Linked DNA regions of Sus scrofa. The protein of the gene in region 2 interacts with the protein of the main gene of each other region in a pairwise test. Links are inferred from orthologs where the notes say so. Each region holds a gene or a part of one and is shown on either strand. Other genes may lie near its edges. The genes, in order: MYL6B, SPA17 and AKAP7.

Region 1 (3,751 bases), on a different chromosome or scaffold from region 2:
CCTTGAAACTGTCCTCAGAACCCAGATGTTCCCCATCTCACAGTCCCTGCCTCCAGCAGGAGGGTCAGTGAGAATGTGTGTGTATATACGTACACAGAACGTGTTATAGATTAGAGGAAGAGCTCAACAAAGACAATAGCAGAGTCATGACCCTGAATCCTTCCAAATAGGGGACGAAGGGAAACCCCCGCTATCATCCAGTGCTTACTGATTCCCTACCTTCTAGATACCCCCTAGTCCTCTAGGCTGAATCCCACCCTTTACCACTCCCTCCAAATTCTTTTCTCACTTTCCAGGGACTCACCACCACTTTGGAGAGATCGACGGGGGGCTCCTGGATCTTCGCAGAGGCTGAAGGGACAGCTGGTGCTGGTGCTGGTGCTGGTGCTGGCGCTGACGCTGACGCTGGTGGTGGCTTGGCTGGAGGGGCCCCTGCTGCTGGCTTGGCAGCAGGCGCAGCAGGCTTGGGGTTAGGGGGCCCCACTGGTTTCTTCACGGGAACGGGAACATCCTTCTTGGGAGGCATGATGTCCGGTGGCCAAAGGACAGTGTGCCGATGGGGGCACCCATCTCTGTTTAAATAGCCAGGGAGTCTGGGATGTCAAGGGGCGGGGGCAGGGGCAGGGAGCCAGTTGGCGATGGGGAGGGTGAGATAGAGGAGAGATATGCTGGCCTGCCCTCACTCCCCTGGCCTCCTATGGTTCAGGACTCCTGCCCCAAGGTCTTCTCCCTTCTGTCCACCTGGCCCCAAATGCTGACCAGAACAATGGCCCCTTTGGGGGCAGGGGGAGGAAGCCAGAGACTGCCCAGAATGGGGGAGTTAACCTCCGGGGTGAGGATAGGATGCTTGCCAGTGACAAACAGTAAAATAGGGGTGAGGCAAAGAAGGAGATCCAGGCATTCAATGCCCTCAACCCTCTGACTCAGAAGAGCCCTTTTTCCTAGCAGCTTTAGACTCTTGAAGGCTGAAGCAGGGATGGGGGCCTTGTGAACTGTGATTGTTAAAGTGGGGTCTGGGAGTAGTGAAAGGTGAAAAAAACAAGCAGACTCTCTGCTCCTCTCTGACCATGGATGAGAAGCAGGGATAGTGGATCCCACAGCTTCATAATCCTGAATACTGTAATTCTCTAACCCTCTTCCTGCCAGCCCAGAACTGGAACTGTGTACAAAATAGAGACAGAATAGTAAGAGAAGAGTGTGACCTCCCCCTCCGATTGTTCCTGTACCCAGTGTTAAACGTTTAAGGAGCGGGGATGCGGGCAAGGACAGTTTAACACCCACCATCCATACTCCCAAGGAAGGAACACTTGTCCACAAACCTATGGTCATTCAGGTCAGACACAAGTAGGGTGTCTGAACCTGCAGGGGCTCCTTGCACCTGGGGGGAAGGGCAGGCTCTGAGAGGCAAAGGGCTTAATTTCTAAAATCTCTAATCCAAAAGGACGTGGGAGGCCCTTTGGCCTCCATGAGTACTCATTCCCAACCAGAGGGATAATAAAACCTCCAGACTAGGTTGCCAGATTACAAACCTTGCTGGGAGCGCTGGGGTAGAGTCGAAGTCCGGGCATATGGGGTGGGGGGGGGGGCGTCACTGGCTAGTTTTGTTCTGGGGTTAAAGAAAGAGACGATTTAAACAGCATTCCGAGGAAGATAAGAGTGATCCCACTTAGGTCCTGGGGTTCAGAGAGTTGATGCTGGGTCTCCCACTCCAAAAAAGTCTCTGAATCTCATTACTGCCAATTGCCTCATTTTAGGAAAATAAGCACATCACTCTCTCTCTCTCTCTCTCTCTCTCTCACACACACACACCACACACACACACACTCACATACACACACCCTAAATATTAAATAAAGGAAAGAGTCCCTCCCCAAAGCCCCAAAAACTCACCCTGAGGGGTCCAGGTAAGAGGAGGAGGCGGGGCGAAGGGCAGCCGCAGTCCCTGAAGGGTTAATTTCGCCAGCCACCGAGCATGCCGGGAATCGTAGTCCTCGCGCGCGCCCGGAGGCTCACGGGAAACTCCGCTTAACTACGTAAGGGGGGCGGTGTTAGTGCGGTGGCTTCCGGCCCGAAGCGGCGGTTGGTGACTCAGTATGTTTGGGGCGCGTTTCTTATCCCGGAAAAAGTACTTTTCACTGACTCTCAAAACGTGCGCGGCCCTTCAGAATATCTCCCTTGTTTGGCCCTGAGTTCACTGTTTAGTGTGGGCGGAGCTGTTTTCCTGAGTTCGCTGTGAGAACGCGGAAGCAGCGGAAGGGTTGTAGCTGCCCCAGGCTCAGATAGAAGGTCAGGTAGCTCAGGAAGCACTTAACGGCCCCGGGCCGAGTGGTTAGGTCAGTTTAGCTTCCTGTTGCAGTTCGGTAGAAAATAGAGGCCATTGAGTGGCTGTATGACTTGGAACAGTAAAGTTGTTTGTTTGAAGTGAACTGGTAGTTGAAGTAAACGTTAAAATTTGGAATTAAGCCGGCTAACCTGCCGCAGTCCGAGTTGAAGTTTCTCCATTCTGCGGCCGCGTATGCATCAGGCACCCTTTCTGTTCTTCACAGGTCTCTTTGGAGTGGAGGCCTGCGTTCTCCAGCTCTTGACTCTGAGACATCTCTGCCCAGCATTGGACATCTCTTTCCCGTGGATGGCTGGTTGTTTTTTAGATTTTTTTTTTTTTTAATGGTCGCACCTGTGGCACATTGAAGTTCCCAGGCGAGGGGGGGGGGTCCAATTGGACCTACAGCTGAGGCCTGTTCCACAGCCAGGGCAACAGGGATCCGAGCTGCATCTGCTACCTACATCACCTGTGGCAAAACTGGATCCTTAACTCACTGAGTGAGCCCAGAGATTGAACCTGCCTCCTCACAGAGGTAGCGTCGTGTCCTTAACCTGCTGAGCCACAGAGGGAACTCCTTGTTTGTGTTTAATTGAGGTATGGTTGGTACAGAATATTCTGTTTCAGGTAGGTTGTATGTACTCCATTAATAGTTATAAATATTGGTTATATTCTCTGTGTTGTACATCCCCCAAGATGCTTTTGAAAGGTCTCCTTTGGGCTGGTAAGGAACCAGCCCAGCCCCACTGATCTACTACTAGATGGAAGAGTAAATGCCCTGAAGGTGCATACCATGCTGGAGATTGGGGCTTGCACGGGCTTGCTTGCAGGCAGTGGGTGGGAGTAGAAAGCCCACAAGAGGTCAGAAGAGTGAGGCATAAATGAACTTAATGGGCAGTGCAGAATTGATGTTGGCTGGTTGGGGAAGGCTTTTTGGAAGAGTAGAAATGGATTGTATAATAAAAACAATAACCGATGAGGAGGTGGAGGGTGTTAGCAACCATTTCTGAAGGTCTCCACAGAGCAGGTACTGCATGAACCATAGAGGGTGCTAAAGAGTGTGGATTCAGACTAGCCTGCTTAAATGTGATGTTTTATTTGCTATTGTTTTGAGTTCTTTTTCAGGCTACTTAATTTTTGTTTGTTTGTTTGTTTTGTTTTTTTTCTAGGCCACATCTGCATCATATGGAGGTTCCCAGGCTAGGGGTGGAATCGGAGCTCCAGCTGCCGGCCTACACCGCAGCTACAGCAGCTCGGGGTCTGAGCTTTGTCTGTGACCTACACTGCAGCTCATGGCAACCCCGGATCCCCACCCACTGAGTGAGGCCAGGGATCGAATGCACATCCTCATGGATACTGGTCGGGTTCATTTCCACTTAAACACAACGGGAACTCCCAGCCTACTTAAATTTGAATCTAGGGTCTTCAAGG
Region 2 (3,751 bases):
ATGGAACCCGCAACCTCATGGTTCCTAGTCGGATTCGTTAACCACTGCCCCACGACGGGAACTCCCCTAGTTAGGGCTTTTAATAGAAACCTACAGCTGTAATAATTTCCATTTTGACCAGTGAGTCAGGTCTTGATAGTCAAAGACCTTCAAGGCTGGGAATGTGGAAATTTTATTTATGGAAGCAAAGAAACTATGCTTTGGCTTTCAATCATAGAGTCACTGTCTCTGGACAGGATGGGACCTTGGAAATACAGAAAAAGAATATAAATCACCTTCCCAAGCTGAAGTTTTTTGAAAAGTTTTCTTTTCAAAAGCAGTTTTTCTGTGCGCCTTTTTTGAGGAGCAGTTTCATATACTCCCGTGAATACCAACTTATTTAATCTAAGGAGCACAGAATTATTATTTTTTGCAATACTTAATAATACTTTTTGAGTAAGAAGAGTCAAAATGTAAAGAAAACCACAAACTCCTCTTACGAAGAACAGACAGTCAACTGCCCAGGATGTAGGTGGACAGCATGCTGGAAAATGGAGAGCTGGGCTGAATGTTCTCCCGACCTCCCCTTCCACTGCATGTGTTCATGAGAAATACAGTGAAGAAAGTCTGTGATAAACTGGTAACCTTCCATAAGGTGGAATGTGACATAAGAGAATCTGCCAAAAAGGCACATGCTGTTTTAAAAAGCAATAACTGTTAAAGCTATCTGCCTCATAAAGGCTTTCTGTGTAATAGGAATGGTCTTAAGCAAGTTTTACCATAATCAAAGGCTTAGTCTCTTTTTTTCCAATGCCTATTTTAAAAAAAGCTTACTCTCTCTTTTCTCTAGAAGATTCTCAAAATATGCTGCTGCAAAAGCTGGTATATTGTCGGGTTGCTCCCTCAGAATCTCGCGTGTGAGCCCTTCAAGTAGATTCCCAAATCCTTGTGGAATTCGGTAGTGGGTGTTGGAGAATGGAATCGACATCTCCTTGGAAGGAACTGTCTATTGTACCTAGAGATTCGTTAAAGATACTGTTTTTAAATTTGTCTTATTTTACTTATATAACCACAACTATGACAAATTATTTCTGAGACCCCAAACTTCTGGACTTCAATCCTTTTTACCCCCAACCCAACCCAAGTCTATCCATTGCTTCCAAAGATTTTTGAAATTTTCCCTTATTAGACTGTTAACAGTCTAATTTAATAGGTAAATCATTTTTTAAAATTACAAAAATCACAGATTTTTCACTATAATAAGTATTTTTTCTCACTCTGTCTTTTGAAGACAGAGTAATTTCTGCTATCCCACGGGGATTTAGAGTGATTATTATAAATTCATCTTAAATTGCCGAAAAGGCCCTGTTAAGGGTCTAAAATTAAAAAACAAAAAAACTAGTCCTTGTTAAAACTAACTTGTCGAATAAGTTTCACACAGTCTTTCCCTTAGCTTTCACTTCTGCTGCATGACCTGCAATGCCTCGTCGAAGCATCTGTATACTCTGGAAGGGGCAACGGGGCGGGGGTGCTGGGGGCAAGGTCATGATTTTGCAATTCCAGTCTTCAATGTTTGGGGAGTCTTATATTTTCTGGATTCATCTTGAACAGGTTTCTTTTCCTATCTTGGAATACCAGAGCTAGGTAAGAATAGCTGCTAGGCAGCATGTTGGGCTACTCAGTGTTCAAATAACACTCAGAGACCTGGCTTGTTTGTGTCAACGCTGCCGAGTAAGGTAGGGTCGGGGTCTAGGTTGGGACTACGTGGTTTAGTGAGGCCCAATCTGTAAAGATTTTTTCCCTTTCTCTTTTTGAGGGAACAGGAGATGGGGTATTAAATCATTCTAAGGTGAAAAGGTAGAGACCCTCAACCAAGGTGGGGCGAGGAGAGGGGTCGCAGGGGGAACACAGGTCTAGTCTGAGGCGCGACGTCGAGGATCTGGGATTTCACACTAGCAGAATGGGCTGCTTGGGGGCCAGTTTTCCCTAAGTTTCCCAGAATGCGGCGGGGACCCTGAGAGAATAAGAGAGGCGAAGGGGAAAGCGACGTCTCGATTTCGGAGAGGAAATGGGGTAAACCGCCTCACCTCTTCAATCGCTCTGAGCTGGAGCTGAAAGTTCCGGTTGTTTTTTCTCGTTGCCGGGAAACCGTTCCCCCTCAAACCATTCAACTACGGCGGCCGAGGAGAGCAAGGGCCAGCCCGGCGGCCGCGGACGGCTTCGCGGAATTAATGACCTGAGAAGGGCGGAGTCTGACCTTATCGGCCCTGCGCAGGCCCCGCCCACAAGGCTCCACCTCTGCTGGCGTCCGCACCGCCCCGGCGGCGCAGGGGTGCGCCCTCCTCGCAAACATGGTCGCTCTGGGGTTTGTGTTTGGGTTGGTGCTGTCGTTACTCTTGCCGGCCGACGCAAGTGCAGGTGAGGCGGCCGGGCTCGGCTCGGGCCGACCCCTGTCCGCCCGTCCGCCTATGCGGACTCTGAGTTACTCCGTAGGACGGCCCCCGAGTCCCCTTCTGTAGGTCTGGGACGGAACCCCGGGCCGAAGCCTGGTTCTCCTTGCAAGGCCTAGGCTGCCCCGGCCCGTCCTCTTTCTCCACTCCCTTCCACTGCCTTTATGATGCAGGGAGTGGGAGAGTTGGGTTTATCTAAGCGAGGGAAAGCCCAAATGTGCTCAGACCGAGGCCCTTAGTGTCTCTGAATAATTGCAGGGGAACTCGAAGGGGAGGGGGCGAAGCTAGTTAGATAATATTTGGAAACTGATGACTCAGTCATCCCAAACATTTCAGTGCTGCCCCCTCAGTGGCACCCTTGGGGAGGGTTTCCTTCAGGCTGGGTTCCTTGGGGGAATTAAATTTTACTAGTTTTAAGTGGTGATTAGGGCTAAGAAATACAACCCCCTCACTAGCTCAGAATATTTAAGACTCAGCTTTGATTCCTGCTGCAGCTCGCAGATATTGGTGGTGGGATAATATGCGTGGCATTGAGGAGGAGGGTGACTCACTTTGACTATTGTTCAGGTCATATATTGTTTCGTTTGAATACCCCGGGCTGGACGCTGGGTCACAGCCATGGAGAAACCAGAAGAGGGACCTTGTCCAGAAATGCAAGTAAAGGGATAATGCTGGATTTTTTTTTTTTTTCCCCCTTCTTTATCCGACCACTCAAATAGTGGACCCCAAAGGTCCCTGTTAAGAAAGGAAAGTTGAGGAGTTCCCGTCGTGGCTCAGTGGTTAACGAATCCGACTAGGAACCGTGAGGTTGCGGGTTTGATCCCTGCCCTTGCTCAGTGGGTTAAGGATCCAGCGTTGCCGTGAGCTGTGGTGTAGGTTGCAGACGTGGCTCGGATCCAGCGTTGCTGTGGCTCTGGCGTAGGCCGGTGGCTACAGCTCCGATTGGACCCCTAACCTGGAATCTACATATGCCACGGGAGCGGCCCAAGAAATGGCAAAAAGACCAAAAAAAAAAAAAAAAAAAAAAAAAAAAGTTGAGGTGGGAGAACAGAGTCAAGAAAAATGACTGCAGCTCTGCCTAAGAACCCACACAGTGCCCAGATGCAGACAAACTGCAGCCCATAAATGGTTCTTCAGGGTTTATCAAAAGTGTAAACTAGCAGCACTCTGTGTATCATTTCCTGACTTTTGTCCCCACTTGGTGAGTTTTGAGTCCAGTATATTAGGTGGGGAAAAGGAAAAGAAGAGAGCAGGATTGTTATTTTATAGTTTTTCTGTTAAAGGCTGTTAACTTTAATATTACTATTTTATCATTGCCTTTG
Region 3 (3,651 bases), on a different chromosome or scaffold from region 2:
CTGACTAGGAACCATGAGGTTGCGGGTTCAATCCCTGGCCTTGCTTACTCGGTTAAGAATCTGGCGTTGCTGTGAGCTGTGGTGTAGGTTGCAGACGCAGCTCATCCTGCATTGCTGTGGCTGTGGCGTAGACCAGCAGCTGTAGCTCTGATTTGACCCCTAGCCTGGGAACCTGCATGTGCCATAGGCGTGGTCCTCAAAAGCAAAAAAAAAAAAAAAGAAAAAAGAAAGAAAGAAAAGGAGAATGCTATATATTATTTATTGATATGACATATTAACTGAAAAAAGCTGGTTATCAAATAGTATTCATGGTACAACTCATGTCTTGCATGGGAAAAATAAGATACATAACAAAATTATGTAGTAGTAGTTTGAGGTAATTTAATTTTTTTGTTTTTATATCTATTTAAAAATTTTTATAATAATTTTCATGAATAAAAAGGGAAACTATTTTATTTATACTTTGGTAAGCTTTATATAAGTGTAATGTGAAGATAACATCTATGCAAGAAAAAGACTTGAAGGGTTAATATATTTTATGTAAATAACAGGGTCATGAATGACTTTTGTTTCTTTTTTTTCTAGATTCTGGATAATTTCTTAAGTTTTAGCAAATGATAGCTAGTTCCAGGGCAATGTAAAAATATGTATAAATTAAAAGAAAAATGTCACACATGGTCAATCAGCCAAAAGACTTGCCCTGTGGGGTACTGTATCTTCCTTCATTTTATGGATTGTGCTTTGAGATTATGAGACAGGTATAGGACCTTTGTATAATAAGGGGAGAGGAAGATATTCTTTTCCATATTTTGGGAAACTCCAGAGGTACCAAGAACATCCCACTGTAATTTTTCAACAACCAGCCCTTTTTCTGCTGTGAAAACACACTGAGAAGCAGGAGGGGCAGGTTGGGAAAGACCTGGAAGCTCCATTGACCCCTCTACACCACTTCAAATAAGCTTACATAAGGAGTTTAAAAATGGCATCCATTTTATTAGAACATTTTACACACTATAAAATATTAATTAAGATCCATCTAACTTTGAAAATATTCACCCTTTTCTCCGTTGTCATTGGTGATGATTACTCTTGCCTTGATATCTCAAATTTCAACGTGATGTACTTTACTCTTTCTGAAGTTTAAAGCATATGAAGGTTTGAATGCTTCCAAGTTCAAACCCAACACTCCTTAATAGTTTTTTTAATACAACTCATTCTAGGCAGAGAGACTTTAAAGACACATTTACAACATTTTGTGGTATCATTTTCAGATGCTGGTAGGCAGCACCGTATATCAAAATGTAATATCATGTTCTGAAAAAGTGATAGAGATATGAACTGGTTTCCTAGGTAAAATGATTGATTGACGTGATTTTGTTTTGTCATTTCAAGGGAGTGAAAAAAATAGACCCCAAAGTCTATGAAAAATTCATCAGTCACAGATTTGGAGAAGAAGTGGTACATTGCATAGATCTGTGCTCCATGCTGAAGAAAAAACAAAGTAATGGTTATTATCACTGTGAGTCATCAATTGTGATTGGTGAGTGCCATTTACAAATTATTTATTATCTTTAGTTTTGATTTCTTTAACACCCTTTTGTTTTGGCATCTATTTTTTTGTCGTTTTTCTCCATGACATATTCTGTTAAATATTATGTTAAGACAATAATACATTAAAATTTTTGTGGAACATAGGTGGAAAAATCCAGTGAGGAATTAAAAACTTCCTGGGAAATAAAAAAAAAAAAATATTGAGATCCTGCTGTGTAGCACTGGGAACTACGTCTAGTCACTTATGACGGAGCATGATAACATGCGAAAATAGAATGTGTACATGTCTGTGTAACTGAGTCACCATGCTGTACAGCAGAAAAAAAATTGTATTGGGGAAATAACAATAAAAAAAATAAATGTCAAAAAATTAAAAATAAATAATTTTTTGTGGAACATATTAAATATTCATATCTGTTAACCAGTATTTATTTATTAACTTTTTTCTTTTTAAAATTTTATGATTTTAATTTTTTCTATTATAGTTGATTTACAGTGTTCTGTCAATTTCTACTGTACTGACCCTTACTTTTTCTCCCATTATCCTCCATCATGCTCCATCACAAGTGACTAGATATAGTTCCCAGTGCTATACAGCAGGATCTCATTGCTTATCCACTCCAAATGCAATAGTCTTCATCTGCTAATACCTACAGTTTTTGTACTTTTGTGCTTTCAGTATAATCATGTGAAGTCCTGAAATGTTGATTCAAAATTCATTTCAATTTAATTTTACTTCGTGAATATGAAGAAAGGATTTTTTCTCAAAATGAATGTTTACATGGCCACAGCATTCTATACCAGGCATCTTCATGTTTGCTGCTTTTAATGAGGAATAGAGGCGTTCCTGTTGCAGCACAGCAGAAACGAATCTGACTAGGAACCATGAGGTTGCGGGTTTGATCCCTGGCCGTGCTCAGTGAGTTAAGGATCCGGCGTTGCCATGAGCTGTGTTGTAGGTCACAGACGCGGCTGGGATCCCGAGTTGCTGTGGTATAGGCTGGAAGCTACAGCTCCTATTTGACCCCTAGCTTGGGAACTTCCATATGCTGTGGGTGCAGCCCCAAAAAGATAAAAAACAAAAGACAAAGAACAAAAAAGGAATGGAGTGTGCCAGGCCAGAAAGATTCACTCTAAGAAGGGAAAGCATAGGGGGCCTGCACAGGCTGAAAACTTGTCCTTCAATTTCTTCCCTAAGAAAAACATGTTTTGAGGAGAAACAAAGATTCATACATAAATGCTCTATCATCTTGTCAGGGAGATGGCATCTGATGAGACAGATTCATACAGTAATTATGTTTCCAAGGGCAAAGTGTGCTCACCAAATGAAGAACGTTTAAAGCCAGAACAGGGTATTTCTCATCGTTTGCAATGTGAATGAATTTCAAAGGAGCCTGATCTGCTGTGATTCAAATTTACTATTTCAAACCGGGCAATCTTCTTATAAAATTGTGAACTTCAAGACAACCTGATTTTTACACTTTTGAAGTAACATGAAAGTATCCAAAGAAGATAAATACGTCTATCTAAATATTTCAAGGTCTGCAACCAAGGTCACTTCTCTCCACATCAGCTGGAAGAAAACCTATGGAAATATACATCCTGAAAAATCTTAATACTGAAGTTTGTTTTAAAGCGTTTTTAAAATGTTCAAGAAACACAGTTTTATGTCTCAATTCCCAGATCTTCAGAGAAGTCATCATCATTTTACCTTCCAAAGACCTTAACTATCTCAAACAGAAGATAATCTGACATTTGAATTTTATGTTCTGAAACATTTCAAGTGTATTTTAAGGAAGATTTTCTTGTTTTCAGGATCTCTCTGAGAGCGCAGTCTTCCATCAGAGTTTTGATGAGAACCAAACATTTCATTTTAGGTTCATTGTAAAAGGCAAATTTAAATCCTTCTAGTGTAATATAGATTTTTGGCTAGCTTTCCGTATCTTCTCTGTAATTACTTTAAGCCAACCTTGAAGGAGAACTTAGTGCCTCATTGCCTCTCCCACTCCCATTTAAGAAAAAAAGAGCAGAACATAGATTTTATTGAAGGTATTGGGCTGCATTATACAGCTCACAGCATGTATCACCTATATTGCCATT

Evidence for each region.
Region 1: the proteins of SPA17 (region 2) and MYL6B interact in binary tests that used the Homo sapiens proteins (3 or more experiments, as listed by UniProt). The two-hybrid records come from large-scale screens. The link is inferred for Sus scrofa from reciprocal best matches to the Homo sapiens genes SPA17 and MYL6B.
Region 3: the proteins of SPA17 (region 2) and AKAP7 interact in a two-hybrid assay, tested with the Homo sapiens proteins (3 studies listed by BioGRID and IntAct). The two-hybrid records come from large-scale screens. The link is inferred for Sus scrofa from reciprocal best matches to the Homo sapiens genes SPA17 and AKAP7.

What each region holds. Positions count from the first base shown.
Region 1 is NC_010447.5:21,552,882-21,556,632, reverse strand, and holds the start of MYL6B (myosin light chain 6B), read right to left. Parts: upstream 2,283-3,751; 5' UTR 1,891-2,282; intron 1,557-1,890; exon of another isoform or gene 1,530-1,556; intron 573-1,529; 5' UTR 527-572; coding exon 305-526; intron 1-304. UniProt on the Homo sapiens protein: Regulatory light chain of myosin. Does not bind calcium.
Region 2 is NC_010451.4:51,917,376-51,921,126, reverse strand, and holds the start of SPA17 (sperm surface protein Sp17), read right to left. Parts: upstream 2,212-3,751; 5' UTR 2,067-2,211; intron 995-2,066; 5' UTR 968-994; coding exon 814-967; intron 1-813. Other genes in the region: SIAE (sialate O-acetylesterase), read left to right, coding at 2,331-2,397. UniProt on the Homo sapiens protein: Sperm surface zona pellucida binding protein. Helps to bind spermatozoa to the zona pellucida with high affinity. Might function in binding zona pellucida and carbohydrates.
Region 3 is NC_010443.5:32,275,117-32,278,767, reverse strand, and holds part of AKAP7 (A-kinase anchor protein 7), read left to right. Parts: intron 1-1,392; coding exon 1,393-1,540; intron 1,541-3,651. UniProt on the Homo sapiens protein: Probably targets cAMP-dependent protein kinase (PKA) to the cellular membrane or cytoskeletal structures.